2 linked regions of the Oreochromis niloticus genome follow. The protein of the gene in region 1 interacts with the protein of each later gene in a pairwise test. Links are inferred from orthologs where the notes say so. Each region holds a gene or a part of one and is shown on either strand. Other genes may lie near its edges.

The links.
Region 2: the proteins of sh3glb1a (region 1) and htatip2 interact in binary tests that used the Homo sapiens proteins (3 or more experiments, as listed by UniProt). The link is inferred for Oreochromis niloticus from reciprocal best matches to the Homo sapiens genes SH3GLB1 and HTATIP2.

What each region holds. Positions count from the first base shown.
Region 1 is NC_031974.2:26,307,099-26,316,461, forward strand, and holds the start of sh3glb1a (endophilin-B1a), read left to right. Parts: upstream 1-3,871; 5' UTR 3,872-4,002; coding exon 4,003-4,065; intron 4,066-4,486; coding exon 4,487-4,628; intron 4,629-5,253; coding exon 5,254-5,382; intron 5,383-6,818; coding exon 6,819-6,952; intron 6,953-7,332; coding exon 7,333-7,425; intron 7,426-9,363. UniProt on the Homo sapiens protein: May be required for normal outer mitochondrial membrane dynamics. Required for coatomer-mediated retrograde transport in certain cells. May recruit other proteins to membranes with high curvature. May promote membrane fusion.
Region 2 is NC_031965.2:5,703,776-5,713,138, reverse strand, and holds htatip2 (oxidoreductase HTATIP2), read right to left. Parts: upstream 5,843-9,363; 5' UTR 5,573-5,842; coding exon 5,448-5,572; intron 5,108-5,447; exon of another isoform or gene 5,089-5,107; coding exon 4,899-5,088; intron 4,813-4,898; coding exon 4,705-4,812; intron 4,204-4,704; coding exon 4,066-4,203; intron 3,987-4,065; coding exon 3,925-3,986; intron 3,098-3,924; exon of another isoform or gene 3,076-3,097; coding exon 2,859-3,075; 3' UTR 2,266-2,858; downstream 1-2,265. UniProt on the Homo sapiens protein: Represses translation by preventing reactivation of elongation factor eEF1A. May also inhibit nuclear import by competing with nuclear import substrates for binding to a subset of nuclear transport receptors.

The sequences.
Region 1 (9,363 bases):
AAGCTAGCAGGCAGCAGCAGGACCCTTCCTGTCAGTGTAGCTCTCCAGTCTTTGATCTCCTGACTAATGGTCTCCCTCCTCCTGGCTTTTCATTCTCCCCTTCCCGCTGAGTTGAGTGTCTCAGGTTTTACAGGGCTCAAAGGGTTCAGATACTTAATGTACACGTGGAAAGTTCCCGCCATTAATATAATGTACATTTTAAGTATACTGTAAAGCCATTAAAGACCTCATAGTATCTTAATATGCTAACAGGGCACTTCACTCTCAGACTGCAGGCTAACTTGTGGTTCCTAGTTAGCCTGCAGTCTGAGATACCTAGTATTTAAAAGTAGACTGGGAGGGAGAACCTTCAGCTTTCAGAGCCTTTCTCTTTGGAGCCAGCTCCCAGTTTAGAGTCAGGAAACAGACTCTGTCTCTACTTTTGTGATAGAGCTTATAGTTAAACCCTCCCTTCGTTACGCTGCTGGAGGCTTCCCATGATGCACTGAGCTTTTCTTCTTCACTTCCTGTGTGCTTTTATACCACTGCTGTACTTAACTATTATCAAACTCTGTCTCTTTCTTCCATAGTGTGCTTTTTGTCCTGTCTCTCTCTCTGCTCTCTTCTCTTTCCCTTGCTTTTAACCGGTTGGTTGCCCCTCCCTTCTGGTTCTCCCAGAGGTTTCATCCTGTTAAAACATAGTTTTTCCTTCCCACTGTCGCCAAGTGCTTGCGCACAGGGGGTCGTCCAATGGGGTTCTGTCTAATATTGCATTGTCATATTGTCTTTACTTTACAATATAAAGCATCTTGTGTTGACTGACTGATGGGAATTATCACTATATAAATGAAACTAATTTGAATTGAACTGAATTACAGCATAGTGTGGCATCATAAGGAAGAGTAAAAACATTAAAGAGCCCAGTAACGTGGATGTTACAACCATGTGCCATTCATACTGGATTTGTTTCCAGCTTTGCCCGGTGCGTTCCAGGGAGCGCTTCATGGAGTCCTGACACTCAACCAGCTGGACGAAGCAGTCAGAGACACCATGCGCTGCGGGGGATGCACCGCCAGTCGAGCCTCCTTCATTGGAGCCTGTTTTGGGGCACAGGTACTGTAGGAACATGGTTGATGGACACATAAAAAGAGCCATGAGTGACTTATCCAAATTAGTGTATGACTAGAAAAAAGTGTTTACATTCAACACTGACACTTTTTACATATTGTTCATTGAAAAGATAAGGCAACATGGAGTAAGTGGATACTGTTGCTACTTTGGTACAAACAAAATCAGCAAAGTCAGAATCAGGAAAAGACATTAACGGCACCTCATACAGCTGTGACACCACCAGAATGTGAAGACATTCAACTGTGAGCTCGTCAGCCAGATGACATTGCACCAATACCAATATTTGCACAGCTGTAGGTGGGATATCACCAGCGTCAGAATAGCCACAAGCTTCCAGTACAGATGTGAGATATACAGCACTAATGGGAGAAAATATTCTACGTGTTTATTGGCATCAAGCACAAACCAGTCCAAATGTATCTACTCTGCAAGAGACACCAAAATCCATCCTTTTTTGCATGTTGTTCTGTGCACCCCTGGAGCTCCTTTGATGAGTTTGACAGTGAGCTCAGATATGCCGAGAGCTTTGTGCTTGCTTGATGCTTTCAGCTGTCATCTCGATGTGCTTTCAGATCGGCCTCCAGGGAATCCCAGAGTCTTGGAGGAAGAGGACGCTCAGATACCCTCTGCTGTTGGAGCTAGCTGAAAAAGTGGTCAAAAAGATTCAGTAATCATAGTTCAATTTGAATTTCTTCCCCCCACAAATTCATCATCTATGTAGAATTTGTGGATAATTGCATTTTAAGAGACTTTCTCAAGTTGCAGATGTACTTTGGCACAGTTATCCATGACAGTTGCATTCTAAAGTCTTGTGCTGAATGAAACTCGAATCTATTTGCTCGGTCAAAGCTGCATCATGTAAAAAAACCCAGTAAAAGCTTGTGTAACCTATTCTCAAATAAAAACTTGTGTTACTGAGACATTTGTATTTGTCTGCTGTTTGCTTTCCTGTGGAGTGGAAAGTAGGGATTTCCTAATCTTAGGAAGCATGTCTGATGAGAGAGAGTAGTTTTGCTGAACCGTCAGAGTTAAGTGGGTTTCTGTCTTCTTACTCCTTTGAGAACTTTCTGTTATTGTGAAGTGAAAGAGCAGATACACACAGATTTACTACTGGAACACGCAGAGACTGCCACTTATTTCTCTCTCACAGGAGCTGTTCTGCCTTCCTGAAAGTGCTGACATTAATATTCACATGTTTAATGCACCCGCCCCAACACTTCTGAAAGTTAGCCAAACATAAGGCAGTGCCAAATCCTTGATATCTTTGACATGGGGTGGGTTTGAAGAAAAAAATCTGAGTGTAGGCTCCCATTGGAGCCTCTGGGTTGCTTTTCCAGTAAAAGTTTTACATTCAGAGATTGACTGGTTAACGCTGTCAGTCAGTGTATTTAAACTGGTACTGTTTGTTATCTTAGCAAAGAAAAAAAGGGAGCTATGTGTGATTTTAAGCTATGTTTCCTAAACACTGACTGCACTAATGTTTGGATGAAGAAATCTCAGAGCCAAGGTTTTGGTGAGTGGAAAGGTTGAGGCTGACTGTGCGTTGGTAGCCTGCAAGGGGAAGTCATTTGATGTCTCCCTCTGCCTGACTTCCTCCCACACAGCAGGTAACCGGCTCACTTTGGCATAATCACATCCAGACCTGAAGAGTGTTTTTGTTATTCCAAATTCTGCTTTTGTTAAGATGTTTTTGAAGAAAGGGCTGATGTTTGCAAAAGATATTGTGTTACTGATGGGGTACAGCACACGTGTCAGCAGTTTTTATGGAAAAAGTGTACTTAACAGTTCTGTGTGTGCTCTAATGTGCACTTTACTTTCAGTGGAATTGCAAATTAGTTTATAGGAGGCAGATGAGCCTCCACAAACCCAACCAACACCACCTCCTCCTGTTGATGTCAAACATAGAAATAATGTATCCTTAAATTATTATTATTATTATTATTAACAACAATCTTTTTATTTGTATTAATGGTATAATAACGAAAGATTCACAGAATAGTTTCACACAGTTACCAAAGGCACATGAATAAGTGAATGGCAAAGGTCTTAAAAAAGAAACTTAACGTGACTTAAAAAAGAAAAAAGTATTTATTTTTTTTACTGTTAGCACCCTGATAAAAACTTGCCCTCGTTAAAACTGGATTTTTTCCATGTCTAGCTTATATTGAAATGTTTACAGAATGAGTGAGAAGTATAAAATGAAAAAGTTGTTATAGTTTAGAAGATAAAAAAAGAGTTTATTTTTCCCAAAGGCTGAGACATTCCTGTGTTGCAGGAGAAAATTAGAATAAGTAAATAAAATAAAAGGAAACCGGGCTCAGTTAAATTAAAAAGTAGAATTTTAGAAAAAAAAAAAAAAGACAAAAAATTAAAAATTCGCTTTTTTTAAGAAGTACAAAATCAAAATAAATACAATGGCGGCTAATGTTTCCGTGTGACGTGAATGCATCCAAAGATTACTTGTAATGCAAGAGAGAAATCTCCTACTCGCTACTGTGTTCCTTTGGTCATACGGCGACACCATTGAATATTCAGGGTACTGTTTGGTTGTTAGAACAAAATTCACTTGCTTCAGCACTTGCATATTATTTCACTCAACTACTGTCCCTCGCATCGTACCACGATAACACTTTCGTTTCTTTTCTTCATACATTTAAACTGCATTTTCAACGTCCCCACCCATCGTCGTATATTATTTGCGCATTCGCAATATCCACTGACACGTTAGGGAAGGGAACAATCTTGTCACTATACTATCTTTGCCTGGCTCAACAGCTGGGTGGAACTTGGACAAAAAAAAAGTTGCTTCAATGACATTTTGTATAGTGATGGCTCTTTGAGGGCGAGACTAGCCAGTTGTTAACATTAAGTGTTTATTTTCGCCGCTGTGCCATGGATTTTAATGTAAAACGGCTAGCCGCAGACGCCGGTACTTTTTTGAGCCGAGCGGTACAAGTAAGTCTAACAATTTAGTTCATGGGAATTGTTGCTAGTCAGCGTTAGCCACTGTGAGGTTGCGTTAGCGTCCTTGCTAAAGAGCTAACGTTACCGTGATTGTTACTTTGTAGCTAAGCAGTTACACCTAATTGTAAGTTAATTTCTATAATTTGCATTGTAGAATGTATTTAAAAAGTGAGTGCGTCACCCAGGTCGTGTTAACACTAAGCTATTTGTTCAACTTAACCATCAATGAAGGCCTCAACACCGTCACATGAAGCTATCAACAGCAGCTGGCAGATAGCGCTAACCTTTATTTTCCGAGCTTAATAACGTTGCTTAGCTTTTTACCCTCAGTCATCTTGTGTGTATCTGTGAATACATCCGTGAAAGCTACAACTGGCATGCGCAATGTAAACGTATATTTTTAATTTTTCAGTTTACAGAAGAGAAGCTTGGTCAGGCTGAAAAGACAGAGTTGGATGCCCATTTGGAGAAACTTTTGGTCAGAGCTGAGAGCACCAAGCAATGGACAGAAAAGATTATGAAGCAGACAGAAGTCTTACTACAGCCCAACCCCAGTAAGATCACACTTTTTGACTTTCAAAGGACTGACACTGACATTTCTAAGCAGCACAGGGCACCCACCCACACAATGTTCTTATAGACCTGCAACCTGATATTCAGGAATCAGGAATTCCCTGAAGAGCAGCTCAATAAAGATGAAAGATTTGTTGCTGCCAGTAAGGCTCACATTAAAAGCTTTACTTCTCAGAGAGGGTGTTTGACTTCCACGGGTTTGTAGGGTGCCTGTGAAGTCTGTAAACTCAGCTGTGCATCCTCCTCACTTCACACCATGATGTCGCATCTCTGCAGCCGAACACCAGCATAGGCACAACAAACACAGACCGTCCATCTGGCGGTTGCAGTCTTGTGCAATAGTCGTAGACATGGTAAACTGGATGTTATTGTGTTCACGTTAAACACAGCACAGATAATCTTTCACATGATGTAGTAACATGAAACAAATTACAGCGGTTTCAGAGAGACGCTGGCTTGTAGTTTGTCATAGCTGTCACAATGAAAGCTTTCAGTGTGGGTCTTTAAGTCGGGCTGTCTGAAGCATACTAAAGTCACTCCCTGCATTTGGCTCGCTCACTGTAGTCCTGTGACTTTGTAATTGAGTTTTCTTCTTGCGCTCTGCAGATGTCCGGCTAGAAGAATTTGTTTATGAGAAACTGGAGAAGAAGGTCCGCACACGTATGAACAATCATGAGCTGCTGGGACAGTCCATGATTGAATCAGGGAATGAATTTGGTCCTGGAACTGCCTATGGTGAGTGCCACGGTGAAACACTGACAGGTACTGGGGCTGTAGTCGATCAAAGACTGTCTTTGCTCAGGGAAAGAAAGTCTGTACATTACCTCCAGATTAAATAAATCAGCTACAGAGCGGCTAGCCCAGTTAGACTGCATAAATTATAAATACACAGGGATTATTATTATCATGATCATTATTATTATTATTATTATTATTGTTATTATTATTATACACATAAAAAACCTAATATTTGCACCATATTTGATTATTTTCACTTTGTTTTGTGTATTAAAATGGGAAAAGACTTTGAGCCAGGTAGTCTGCACTTGCACATAGTCTCATGATGTCTGAGTAATGCTAATAATTATGCTAATAGGCCTCTCTCAGCTGTGGCGGGATGCATCTGCCGTTAGAAAGCCAATAGACCAAAGCTACTCTGGCTTTGATTTGTTCACTCACAAAGCCTCATACATTAAACAGCAAATCTGGCAGAAAAACCTAAAACATGCCCCAGTTTTCCCAGGTAGTCTGTTCCTTTTCCAGAAATAATTAGCTACTATTGATGGAGATTTTTTTTTGTCCTTCTTAAAGTAATGTTGTTGTGAGTTTAATGAGAATTTGCACAGTCGGAGCAATCAACCTGAGATGACCCCAGTCCTACTGGGAACACCAGCTGAGCTGAAACTTTGTGGTCTTTATTTTGTTGATTTGAATCTTTAACAAAAAATAATAGAAATTCTACAAAGGCAACTAAAAGAGGCCTACAGCAACTCAAGTCAGAGTAGTTTGATCATTAGCAAGCCTCCTGACATTACACAGTGGACAAAAGGCTAAAAGAAATGACGGTCGCTCTAGTTGTTCAGTTGTTAATAGAATATAAATGCACGGTTGACAGTGAGAAGGAAAAACGCCCTTTTAACAGGAGGAAACATACCACAGAACCAGGCTCAGGGAGGGGCAGTTACTTGGTTAGCAGGGAGGGAGACGGGGCAAAAGACACACTGTGGAAGAGAGCCAGAGATTAATAATAACTACTGGTTACATGCTGGGTGGTGTGTAAACAGAGAGTGAAAAAAGAGGAAATGCAGTGCATCATGGGTAGCTCCCAGTAGCCTAGGTCTGTTGCAGCATCACTAAGGATCCAGTTACCCGATCCAGCCCTAACTATAAGCTTTATCCAAAGGAAAGATTTTTAAGCCTAATCTTAAAAATCTCTAAATATTTCTCAAAACATCATCAGCTTGTTTGTCTGTCTCATGAAGACTTGTAAAAATGAGTTAAACTCTGGTTTGTTTGTTTTAAAGAACATTTTGATGATTTTCTGAACCATCTTCTGCTATTTTCAGTCCCAGCCAGGCCACTTATCAGTGTCAAGCTGAAACAATATCACCATTCTCCCTCCCAAGTGTTCTGCTGGCACTAAACTTTCCTTTTGCTGCTGACCATTGTAGGAAACGCTCTGATAAAATGTGGAGAGACGGAGAAGCAGATTGGTGGGGCGGAGCGGGAGTTCATCCAGAGTGCCGCCATCAACTTCCTGACACCGTTCAGAAACTTTTTAGAGGGCGACTTCAAAACTATTCTGGTGAGTTGGAACCGCAGGCTACCTGTCCTGAATCACTTTCACTTTTACCCGGACTTTGACCTTTAAATCTGGATCTCATTCACAACAGTGACGGCTGCAGAGGGTCCACGAGTACAGCTTTAATGATTGTAGCCATTATTTTACAAAGTACTGAAAGATCCTGTTGAAGTCTGTACATTATGCTCACTTCAGTTTAGAGTTTAGTGTTCAGACTATGTCAGGTGTGTGCAAACTCACATTGTGATTATAGAAAACAAGCCCTTTTAATCGTGTTATAATCTAAAGTAAACACTGATGAATGAAGTAGAAGCCTTGTTTACACTGTGCTGTGTCCATGTGTCGTTTATCTGTGAGACTTTTATGTTGTGATTTGTGTCCAGAAAGAGAGGAAGCTGCTGCAGGTCAAACGCCTGGATCTGGATGCAGCCAAAACCAGACTAAAGAAAGCCAGGATGGCTGATGCAAGAGCTGCGGTAAGGACACACACACACACACACACACACACACACACACACACACACGCTGATAGAACAGCTTAAGTGAATTCTGCTTTTGGTACATTCACTAGCTAACTTCTTCACTGGGGAAGAAAATCTATCGGGCGTGTCCCAGTGTCACTCTGTCTGAAGTCACACAAGTACTGCCTGACACACTACGTTACACAACACAAGGCTGACCATTTTATCTCTTGTGACATGCAAAGAGTCACATGAGCCACCATGGGAAGTTTTAGAGTTCCCTTTTCTTAATTTAATCTCATGCTTTGTGTTCGTGTTCTTCAGACAGACTGTTGAAACTCTTGATTAAACCGAGTGTGGCAACAAAGCATGTCCTTATTCGTGAGGCGTGAGGTGCCCAGGTGTGTGTGTGTGTGTGTGAGGAGCATGTATTTGTCCTTGTACCACATGGTGTGCCACAGTTTGTGCTAAAAGCCTTGTTTAATAAGTCAGCTCACTGGCCAATTGATTAGGTACACGTGGTTAGTATTAGGTTGGACCATCTTCTGCCATCATAACCTCCTTCATTCTTCCTGGCAAGGATAAAACAAGGAGCTGGAAACAATCCTCCGAGATTTTGGTCTATATTGCTGCAGATTTATTTTCTGCATGCCTATAATGCAAATCCACAACATCCCAAGGGTGCTAGGTTGGATTGGCATCTGGTAACTGTGTGTGAGATATGGTGCGTTATCCTAAGCCATGTTAAAAAAGGTCACTGAATAGTTGTTCCTTTTTTTGAACCATTCTCTATAAACCCTCAAGATGTTTGTGTGGTAAAATCCCAGTTTCTGAAATACTCAGACCGGCACATGTCATTCAGAGTCGATTTAATCACCTTTCTTCCTCATTCTAATGCTCTGTTTGAACTTCAGCAAGGCTATAAGCCATCAGCCATGTGATTGGCTGATTTAGGTTTGTGTTAATGAGTGGTTGAAGCTAATAAACTGTCCAATGAATGATATATGAGTGGTGACATGTTTAAAAATATTTTTTTGCATATTCACTCTTAGTAGAAACTCTTGTGTTCTTCTCCACTGTTGTCACATAACTGCCAATTAACAATATAACATTAAACCATATATGAGGAGTGCATATTTGGCTGCCATCTTCTTGTAATGTGTGTATTACCACCACTTCAAAGCTGCCCCTAGCTGGTCTGTTTTTCTCTGCTCTCCCACTCAAACTGAGCTCAGAAAGTTGTTTAAACATTTAGGTTATTAAGTGCTAAATATAATAGTATGTATTAGTTTTTAATCTACATGCATATTGTGTAGTGCTCAATTGTTTCTGTCTACAAGCAAAAAGAGTTTTCTTTAATGTTAATGGGCATTTATGTGCTTTGATTGATTTTAAGGGGATATGACTCTCACAGCTAAGACTGTCTAAAGATGGACTCACTAATGACCTCAGTTTTTTATTAACTAAAGCTTGACTTATAAATTATTTTCAGAAAATGCCCACTTGCATCTAAAGCATTCAGGTTGTCAGTAAGGAAATAGGTTAGACATGTCTGAGCCGGTGTTGGTGTACAAATACTGAACAAAAGCACTGCAGTACCATGTAAGAGCCGTAGATGACAGGAACCCAGCAGAGCCACGCAGTCCCAGTCTTCAGTGTTTCCAGAAAACATTCGTATCTTTTGCTCGCAGTTTGCCTTGGGAAGAAACAATCTCACTGAAGCAGAGTGAGCATAACTTCCTCCTCCTTATGATTGCCCGTTCTACTATCTCTTTTAGGATATTTAAAGTGTTTTAATTTAGCATTTTCAAACAGCACAGTTGTCTATTGAGTACTATTGGTTTAATAGTGTGTTTAATCTCTAAAAACAGCTTTTTGTATCCATATCATCTGAGTAAGCATGTTCACTCATGAGTGAGAACACTGTAAACTAAACATGTGAGACGTAAATAG
Region 2 (9,363 bases), on another chromosome or scaffold:
TTGTTAAAGGTGACAAGGCATTATAGTTTCAAATGCTCCCCAACAAAGTTAAAGAGGTAAAATTCTAATGGTTTGGACATGTGCAGAGAAGGGATAGTGGATATATTGGATAAAGGATGTTGAAGCTGGTGTTGCGAGAGATGAGAAAAGGAGAAAGACCACAGAGAAGATTCATGAATGTAGTGAGAGGACATGCAGAGGGTTGGTGTGACAGGAGAGAATGCAAGAGATGGGATGAGATGAAGGCAGATGTGGCGACCCCTAAAGGAAGAAGCTGAAAAAAGAAGAAAAATGAAGGCAGACAAGAGTCCAGGAATTCTGAGCTGCTGGGGATATACGGTCTCTTCATATTCAACCAAATGGAGAAAAATTGACTAGTTGACTAGTCAATTTCACCTGCTGATGACAAAATTAAAGGGAGATGGGGAGATCTGCAAACACAAAAACAACTGAAGACATCTGTGACAAAAGCCTGGCAAATAATCCCATTCTCTGGTGATATCCAGATGAGGTATTAGAAATGAAAACTAAATTATGATTGTTGTCCAGATTGTTGTCCAGTCACATTTAGCCTCTAAAAGAATATGAGACTGTGTATTTAGACTCCCGTTTGGCCTGTCAATCTGGACTTACTAAGCAAAATAAAAAGCTAATGGATGCTAATACAAGCTACTGACTGATTATGAAATACCTCAGTGGTTATTCTCAAAGTTTTTACATCACCAACCAGCGGCCACAAGCAAACCATTAACAGGCTACAGATTAAAGTGTAACACGGATAAAAATCATGTGCACACCTTTATTACATGAAAGGCTCAAATGGCTCAGTTGGTTTGCAATGTTCATGCAGTTTTTTTTAGTTTGTTTATTTCTTTTTGGAGGGGGGTCAGCACCACCTTACACCACCATATGACTAAATTAAGCTGGTAGCAACCTGTTGAAACAGGCTTTTAAGACCCATAAACATATTCTGAACTCCAAACATTTACAGAGAGATGCAGCTGTTTGTCATTATTTACTAATTAGTACTGCAGGGTCATGATGGCAACGCACACAAAACTGTTCGATGGAGGGATTAAGGAATGTTTCTCAATTTCAGAGGTAAATTCCCTTTCTTTGTGTCACCTTATAGGTAATTTTCATCATTTTGGTGGTTTGGCTACTGTACAAGTGTGCCTTTTAACATACTGGCAGTTTTGTGTGTTTTTTTAGATTAAAAGACAGGAAGAGAAATACCCAACATTCAAGTCTTTATGGGAATTAATATAAAAAGCAAAATACTCAGTACATACATTTAAGTTATTACATATCAAATGTGACAGTGAGCCAAAGCACACAACAACAAGACTCTAAAACTGTCTCAATTTAATTCAGCTGCCAATAATGTCAAAGTATTCATCTGTGTTTCTGTGACCAAAATGTATACCGACCACTGACTGCTGATCCCAACAAATATTAGTGAACAAATCCTTGTCTGTAAGATGTATTACATCATTTAGTCACAAGAGGTCGCTGCTGCGTCAAAGAGGAAAAAGGGGCTAACATTACAAATTCAAGCGTTTCAGTGGATTTGCATTTAATAGTGAAGTCCATCAAAACGCAATAACGAGAGGCAAAACTGAAAAATGAGGTAGAACTAAGACGTGACAGTGACACTGCTCTGTCACACAAGTTAAATTAAGTTTGTGTCTCTTAAAAAAGGAATTAGGGCATCACCTGCTTTATCGACTTAAAATAAATCTGCAACTTTCAATTCTAACACTTGTGAAACGTGTGAACAAAATTCAGTATGAAAAATATATCTGTTAAAGACGACTTTACATATAAAATAAACATGTTGTGATATTGTATTGTATTGTTAGATATTAGAATATGTTAGAATGTGACATTTATTATGCAGCCAAAAGAAAATGTCTAATATGAGAAAAAGTATGAAAAAGAACAAACTCAGATTTTACCTTTCTGTTTCTTGGAAAATACACTGCACTAATAATAGAGGTGTAGAAAAACCCTGGAGTTGTACAAAAGTACACAAAGAGGTAAACAGGTAAACTAAATAGAAAAAACTGAGAGAGCAGGTAAATGAGACGTGTTGTATAAACTGTCATGAGTACATTTATTGTATGACAATTATGCAGCACCTCCAGTACAGAAATTGTAATACATGCGTCACACATTTGGATCTTGGTGTGTGCAAAGTAAAAGCTATGCACAAAGATTTCTTTATATATTGATCCATACATTCATCCTGCGGCTATGGAAACATTTCCCTGAATTAAACACACATAAGTACATATTTATTATAATTTAATGAACAGGTTAAACGTCATTATCTCAATCTAGTGTTCAGTAAACGTTTACTTTGAGGCAGTGGTTAATATTTTGGAGCACAAATGATGAAGACTGAAAGGCCTGGCACTACTACTTTATCTTTTTTACTTCTTTAAAGACAAAAACCTTTGGATTTCTGACAACTGCAAAACACCATGATGTTGGTTTGATGGGCATTCGAGGATATAATAACCCTGAAATATGATGACAGTTCCTTAAATAAAACATAAACTAAAGTTAATATTTGTCTTTAAGCAACTTCTCATGCACACCTTTCAATTTTTTATACTTTTGGAAAGTTACTTGGCTTCAATTTCTTACAAGTTTATAGGACTTATAGAACTTATAGAGATACCCCAAGTATTTTTTAAACATGGAGATATAGATGAATTATAGATAACCACCCAGTTAGGTTATCCAAAGCATCACAGGTGTCTCCTGTCAAATGTAAAGGTTTATGTGTCTTTCTGAAAGTTTGAGTGCATACTGAACATGTTTTTTCCCACCCCTGTAAATTTCCTGCTCTCTTATTTCCCTGCACTTTTCCCCAGAGTGGCGATGTCTTTATTCTCCAGGATCTCCGTCTTCTGCTCAGGTTGAAGCACAGTGTTTGACACCATTGCTTTGGCCACCTCTTGGATTGGCACAGCCATGGATCTAAATCCAACAGCAGACACGGTGCTAAAGAACTTCCTCGCCATCCACTCAGCGGGACGACTCTCCTGCCTATCCACCAACAAAACCCTGTGGAGAAAAAGTACAAAAGGTAAGACTGAGAGATTGTATCTGGTTAGATCACACTGACTGATGAAATGCCACTTCACCTTCAGAAGAATGAATTTACAAGAGTTTAATTACAGAAAAGTCACACTGTGTCATGTTCGTTGTGAATTTCCCTAAGTTGTTGCCACATTAGCAGAAGTCACACATGACTCTTCTTTTAGAGAATGATCATCCCAGATTTTACTTTTTTATTGCTCTAATCAACTCTATGCAGCCACAGCCCTATATATTTTCTAGGTAGGTGTTCCTCATCCCTTCAATTCATGTAATTTGCAGCAGCCTATTTACTAGGTACACCTCACTGATACCTGGTTGTATCCGCTTTGGCCTTTAGACCTTTAGTTATTATTTTTTAATACAAGGCAGGAAGGGTCCATGATTTCATCTTGTTTATACGATGAAAAATGTCACAGTAGAAATAAAGACTCATTTTTCCTATCTTCCATTATCCAGCTTTGGTGAGCTTGTGTGAACTAAGGCCTCAGTTTCTGAAATACTTAGACGAGTTTGTACAAACAGCCATGTTCATACTCAATTCACATTTCGTCCTCATTCTGATGCTCAGTTGAGCAGTTAAATGTACCTAATAAAGTGGCTAGTGAGTGTATATTTACAGGCTCTGTAACGGCCAGTACAATCTAGTTTCTAAGAAAGAGGGTTTGTTTTGTGATAACTTGTGTAATTTTGGGGGGCTATGTGCTATTTTCAAATAAATTTATGGTTTAAAAACACTCAATCCTGCTCCTGTTTACTTTTTTTACACAGCGCCTTGGCTCTTTTTGAAAAGAGGCTCTAAGTGAGATCACTCACCCTGGTCTGTAAATGGCGAATCTGTCAAAACCAAGGGCCTCGATGTCTGCCTCTACTTGTCCCTGGAAGAACAGTCATTAATTTTAGGACTCCAAGAAAGTTTAGCTGAGGAAATTTCAGGATGTTAAGTCAAAAACATACTTTGACTTTGAGGTAAAGGAAGCCGCTTTTTTTATTTGCTCCCCTGGAAGACTCCAGGTGGAACTGTGTGCAGCCTCCAGCTTTGGCGAGCTCAGCTGATTTTAGAACATAGTCATGATCAACTCTGATGAATCCTTCCTGAAACAGAAGAATGCACTTAATGAAATAGGACCCAAAAAAAGACCAACATTTTTACATTTCAATTTTGGTGACTGTCACTGATGTATATCGTTTCCATATGTATAATATGGGTAAATATTTTTCATTAGGAGCTCTGAAATAAGTCATTGTAGCCAAATTATACCTCCATGATTTAGAAGTGCTCTGAGAGACATGATATGTAATAACATTGCTGCTTCTAAATTACCTCAAAGCAATGTTTTATAACTTAGTGGCATAACAGATATTACAAAATAAGCCAGTGTCTATAAAAATAGCCCATGAGCCTTGTCAATTTATTAGCTGTGTTAATGGAAATGTTAGCCAAATTAATGTGGGTGACACAGCTCAGTTATTGTTACTGCTGAGTCATAGTTACTGTTAACAAACTAAGGTTTGGCTATGGCCGACAGCCACAGTGAAACAGTAAAATCTTATCATTTGGTTGTCAAGTTCCCGTGCTGGATTGAGACCACTCACAGCTCCTGCTTTAGCTCTGGTTGTTCCCAGGCAGCAGTATCCAACATCATGGCCCTGGAAGGCAGCAGCATAATCATCAAGCTTCTCAAAGTCGACCACCTCTTGGACCTGGGGCCACAGAAAACAGTGCTTAAGAAAAAAATTTTTTACTGGCCTTATTATTACAAGTTTGGTCAACTGATCAGCCCACTAACCAGGTTTTCATAAGTTTTGCCCTCAAAGGTGAGCTGCCTCCTTCCAATAAGAGTAATCTTAGAGAAAATATTACGCTCCAGCAGCTCTTGAAGCAACACCTTGCCAGTTTCCCCTGAAGCGCCTAGGATGAAACAGCTTTTGTTCTGCTGCCTGAAGTTTTCTTCTAGGGTCTTGATGTCCTCAGCCATACTGTTAACAACAGACAGCCCTGTCATGTAAATATCACGCGTTTAATGCACATGTAAATCTGAACAGTACCGTTTAGCACCTCGGTGGGCAGCTATAATCGAGGGTGAAACAAAGTATTAAATACTGGTTAATAGTGACTACCAGTTATGATTATTTGCGATAAATTTACGGAATTCAGAAATCGGTGTTAAGGGGACTACGACTACCAAGAGGAAAGATCACATTAAATTCATGTACTCGTGAATGGAGGTTGGCTTGACCGATCTGACAGTGGCATATTTAGCATGTATGTAACTAAATACAGCTCGGTGTCGAGTATAAATTCGTTAACGTTAACAAAGACGAGCGCGTGTCATTACCTCGTGTATTTAACCGTTTCGGAATCTTCGAAATAATTTAAGGTCGCTGCGATGAAAACAACCAGGACAGTGAAAAATCCTAATGTCTTCCCCAGGGTGGTGCACAGCAGTTTAATAACAGGCATCGCTGATAGCAACGATTAAAGTGCTGCAACACTTCCTGGTTGCTTCATATTTACACAAACGGCGCTGTCTTCCTGCTTCGTTGATAGGCCGAGGAAGAAATCTAAAATGACAGCGTGCCGCTGGCAGTTTAATACACGAAACCGACACACAGCAGACTGCGAACTTTATGTTTGTATTAAACTGCAGCATGATATATAAGCAAACCAAAGGGATGCTATAAACACGCCTCGCTCCGCTCCATATCAACGCAGACAACGCTTTACGGACAGCGCATGCGCTCTGGAGGTTTGAATCTGTAATGCATCCAGTTTTTAGTTTGTGCACAATTTTCCTCTCCTATACCACGAGGTTTTTGTTTTTGTTTTTGCGGCAAACGTGGCTCAGTGTAAGTGTGTCTTTGCTTTACCCCGCACAGTAAAGCGGTTTATGCTGGCAAAACCAGAGGTGTAGGCTACTGTTTAAGGGTGTGAAAATCAATGTCTTCAAGCTCTTGGTAAACTAATGTTAATTAGCTGATGCTGATCGCATCAGCATCATATTTTTGCTTTATAACACAGGGAAGTATCCTGCTGAAAGAGGCCACAGCCAGGGGCAGGGAATAGGATGCAATGCTTAGGTAGGTGCAACATGTAAAAGTACAAGCACATGGATGGCAGTACACAAGGTATCCCAGCAGAATATTACCCAAAGCAACACACTGTCTCTGCCAACAAGGACTGGTCTGCGGCTAGTTAGTTAGCTACATGTATTTGATAAGGACAGGACATGAGACAATGTTACATGATAAAACAATGCAACCGTTGTTTTGTACAAAGGTCTTCTAGCTAAAGGCTAGAAAACCCAGTCCGTGGTTGGACTTTAAAAAAAAAAAAAAATACAGCAGAAATAAAACTAATCCGTCCACAAATACACACACACTCACTCAGAGTTACTTTAACTAATAGCAGGAGATGCATGGCCATGTCGTGTTATCCAACCACAGCAAAGCAGGCTGGTTTACATCAGTATCCAGAGATTTGTTTTTGTTTCAGCCATTGTTTCACCTGGGAATTAAAAACCCTAGAATCTGTTAACATTTTTATTGCAGATGGTAAACTGTTCCCATAATCTGAGGACCTTTGAGTGAGAACCAGGATTGAGCAAATTATGTTTTCTATTTTGGTAGTTTGCGGTCTCTATGAGCTACTCTTCTTGTTACTGCTGGCTTTTAGCATCATACTGCTCACTAACTCTGGGACAAGACCATTGATGCATTTAAAAGTTAGTTTAAAAAAGAGAAGTCCCAAAATTGTATCAAAGCTTAAGAGAATGTTTTTCTCCAGTATTTTACAGTGGTGTCACTTCATTAGTTTCTGGTCTAAAACTTTCAGTGCTTGTTTATACCACACCATCATGGGTTTTAAAGTAGACTGAGTTACTTGGCTCCAAACAGTGACACAGTATGAGAGATGACACAGAATCATGCAGGTACAAATGAGCAGCTTTTCCATATAAACATGAACCTATACAACAGAAACAGTTTATGTTGATCTTAATGGTTCTGGATACTTTCCTGATGTGAGTCTCAAAATTAACATGGGAATCCAAGATGACACCCAGATATTTAAACTCATCCACTTTTTGGATTTCTCTCTGATTTACACCGGATTGTAAAACACATGAGACCGTTTTGTTGCAGTTTAGAGTCAAAGAGTGATTCTTGAACTACTAAGACACTCCCACCATCTTTCTGAGCCAGACCCAGGTTTAATTTAGTTTCTGACCCAGTCGGCTAGCCACTACAATTTGTCCCTTGTCAAACTCACTCAAATCCTAAAGATTCCCTATTTTTCCTGCTTGTAACACACAAACTCTAAGCACAAAATATTCATTTGCTCTCTAAAATAACCCACCCATTAACAGAACACCATAAAGGACCAAACATGGTCAACTAGACCAATATTATACCTAGACCTATAATCTATACATAGGTAAATGATTATTTCACTGGAGCTGAACACATTTGTAATTGCTTAGTCAGAGCAGCTCATGCTGTTGAAAAACATAAAAAGTTACATAGAAAATATGCTTACACGACCTCATGTCATGCCAATGCTTTAGAGGAAAATTAGGTTAAAATAAACCTTAAGGCAGAAGAAGAAAGGTCAGGAAGAAGACACGCAGTAAATGGCCTTGGGGTAGATTTGAACCTAAGTCTCTGCATTAGCTTTGCGGCATGTGGGTCACCTGCTCAACCCTGTAGAGCTAAACCTGCTTTCCACTATGTGTATTCTTACAGTGGTTAAAGCTATTCACACAACAGGTGCTGTGTATGGGGAGAAAAGATGATGAATAGCTTTTAAAATTGTTATTGAAATAGAATAAACCAGGTCTCTTCTCCCAAAAGTTGAAGTTGTAGGAAAAGCAACACTTTAGTCTGCTGGTGAAGAAATCCAGCGTGGATCTAGAGTTGGACCAAACCTTAAAAAATGTCTTTGCCTTTTGTCAGATCTTCAGGGGGTTTCATTAGTCAAAACCTCCACACAAAGAAAGCAAGTCCAGTCACATGCAATGAATTCATCAACACCCCATGTTTTTAACACCCCTGCCACTTTGAACACAAGGCATCGACCCAATCTAATAGAATATGATGGAGCCAGGGATGATCCTTTAAAGATGTCAGCAGTAAGAGACAGAAAGAAAATAGGCTGAGGTTGAGAGAAGAGGCCTTAAACTGGCACTCTGCTGAAATGAAATGTCGCCTCTTTGTTCCTTAGCCACGGGTGCTAATTGGAGCTAGCGGCAGGGAAGAAAGCTGCCGCTGGGCTCCTGTCTGTCGCACCTGTTGAGTCATTGTCTCTCACATTGATCAGACAGGAAGTTGGAGTAAGAAGGCTTATGCCTCAGTGGGTGCGTGGCAGAAACGTGGTTCAATTTCCTTTTAGAACTCCGCCGTTGGAGGTGAAAATACCAATGGTGGTCAGTGGTCAATTGCATTTGACCATTGATTAGTCTCTAAAAGGACATATGGATCATAAAGAGTTGGTTTTCCGTCAGTCGTTCCTTTTACTTTACACTTCAGTTATAGCATTTACCCAATATTGCATAACAGGTGTGTTATGCAATGTTAACAAAAACATTTTCATGCAACACTAACTTTGACAATAGTTGGTGGGTAAGCATCATGCTTTATTATACCCTGGTCCCAGCTATTGATGTCAGTATTTAAATTAATACCCAAATTCTCACATTTTTATTTTGACTTTAGATGAAGGTGAAAAATTTGGTTGACCAGAAATATTTAAAAGCTTTTTGGCTCATGCAGTTAAGAAGTTACTGTTTTCACCTCATATACATTTTATTTGTGTTCAGAATTAGATATAATATAACTGTTTGAGACTGCAGGTGTCAGTCATCTGCAGTCTCAAACAGTTTTCCATGTTTACATCAAACTGAACTTGGCTGAAGTCTGCCAACACTTCAGCTTCAGAGTACAATTTAAACATCTTGACAACTGTTTAAAAGTTTCATTTTAAAGTGTTAACTGCTGATATATGATTGAATCCCTGGACACCAAACTAAGATGAACATAACTAATTATAGATAAGATTTTGTGTTTGTGTGTATGTTCTGAAATGTATATTTCTTTGAAGCAAATAAAACGACTGATACGACCAATTAAGACAAATAAAAAGCGCATACATGCATGCCTGTATATACACATCACATACAGACACACACACACACACACACACACACACACACACACACACACACACAATCTGTACGCCAACACAGCTTAAGGCTTAAG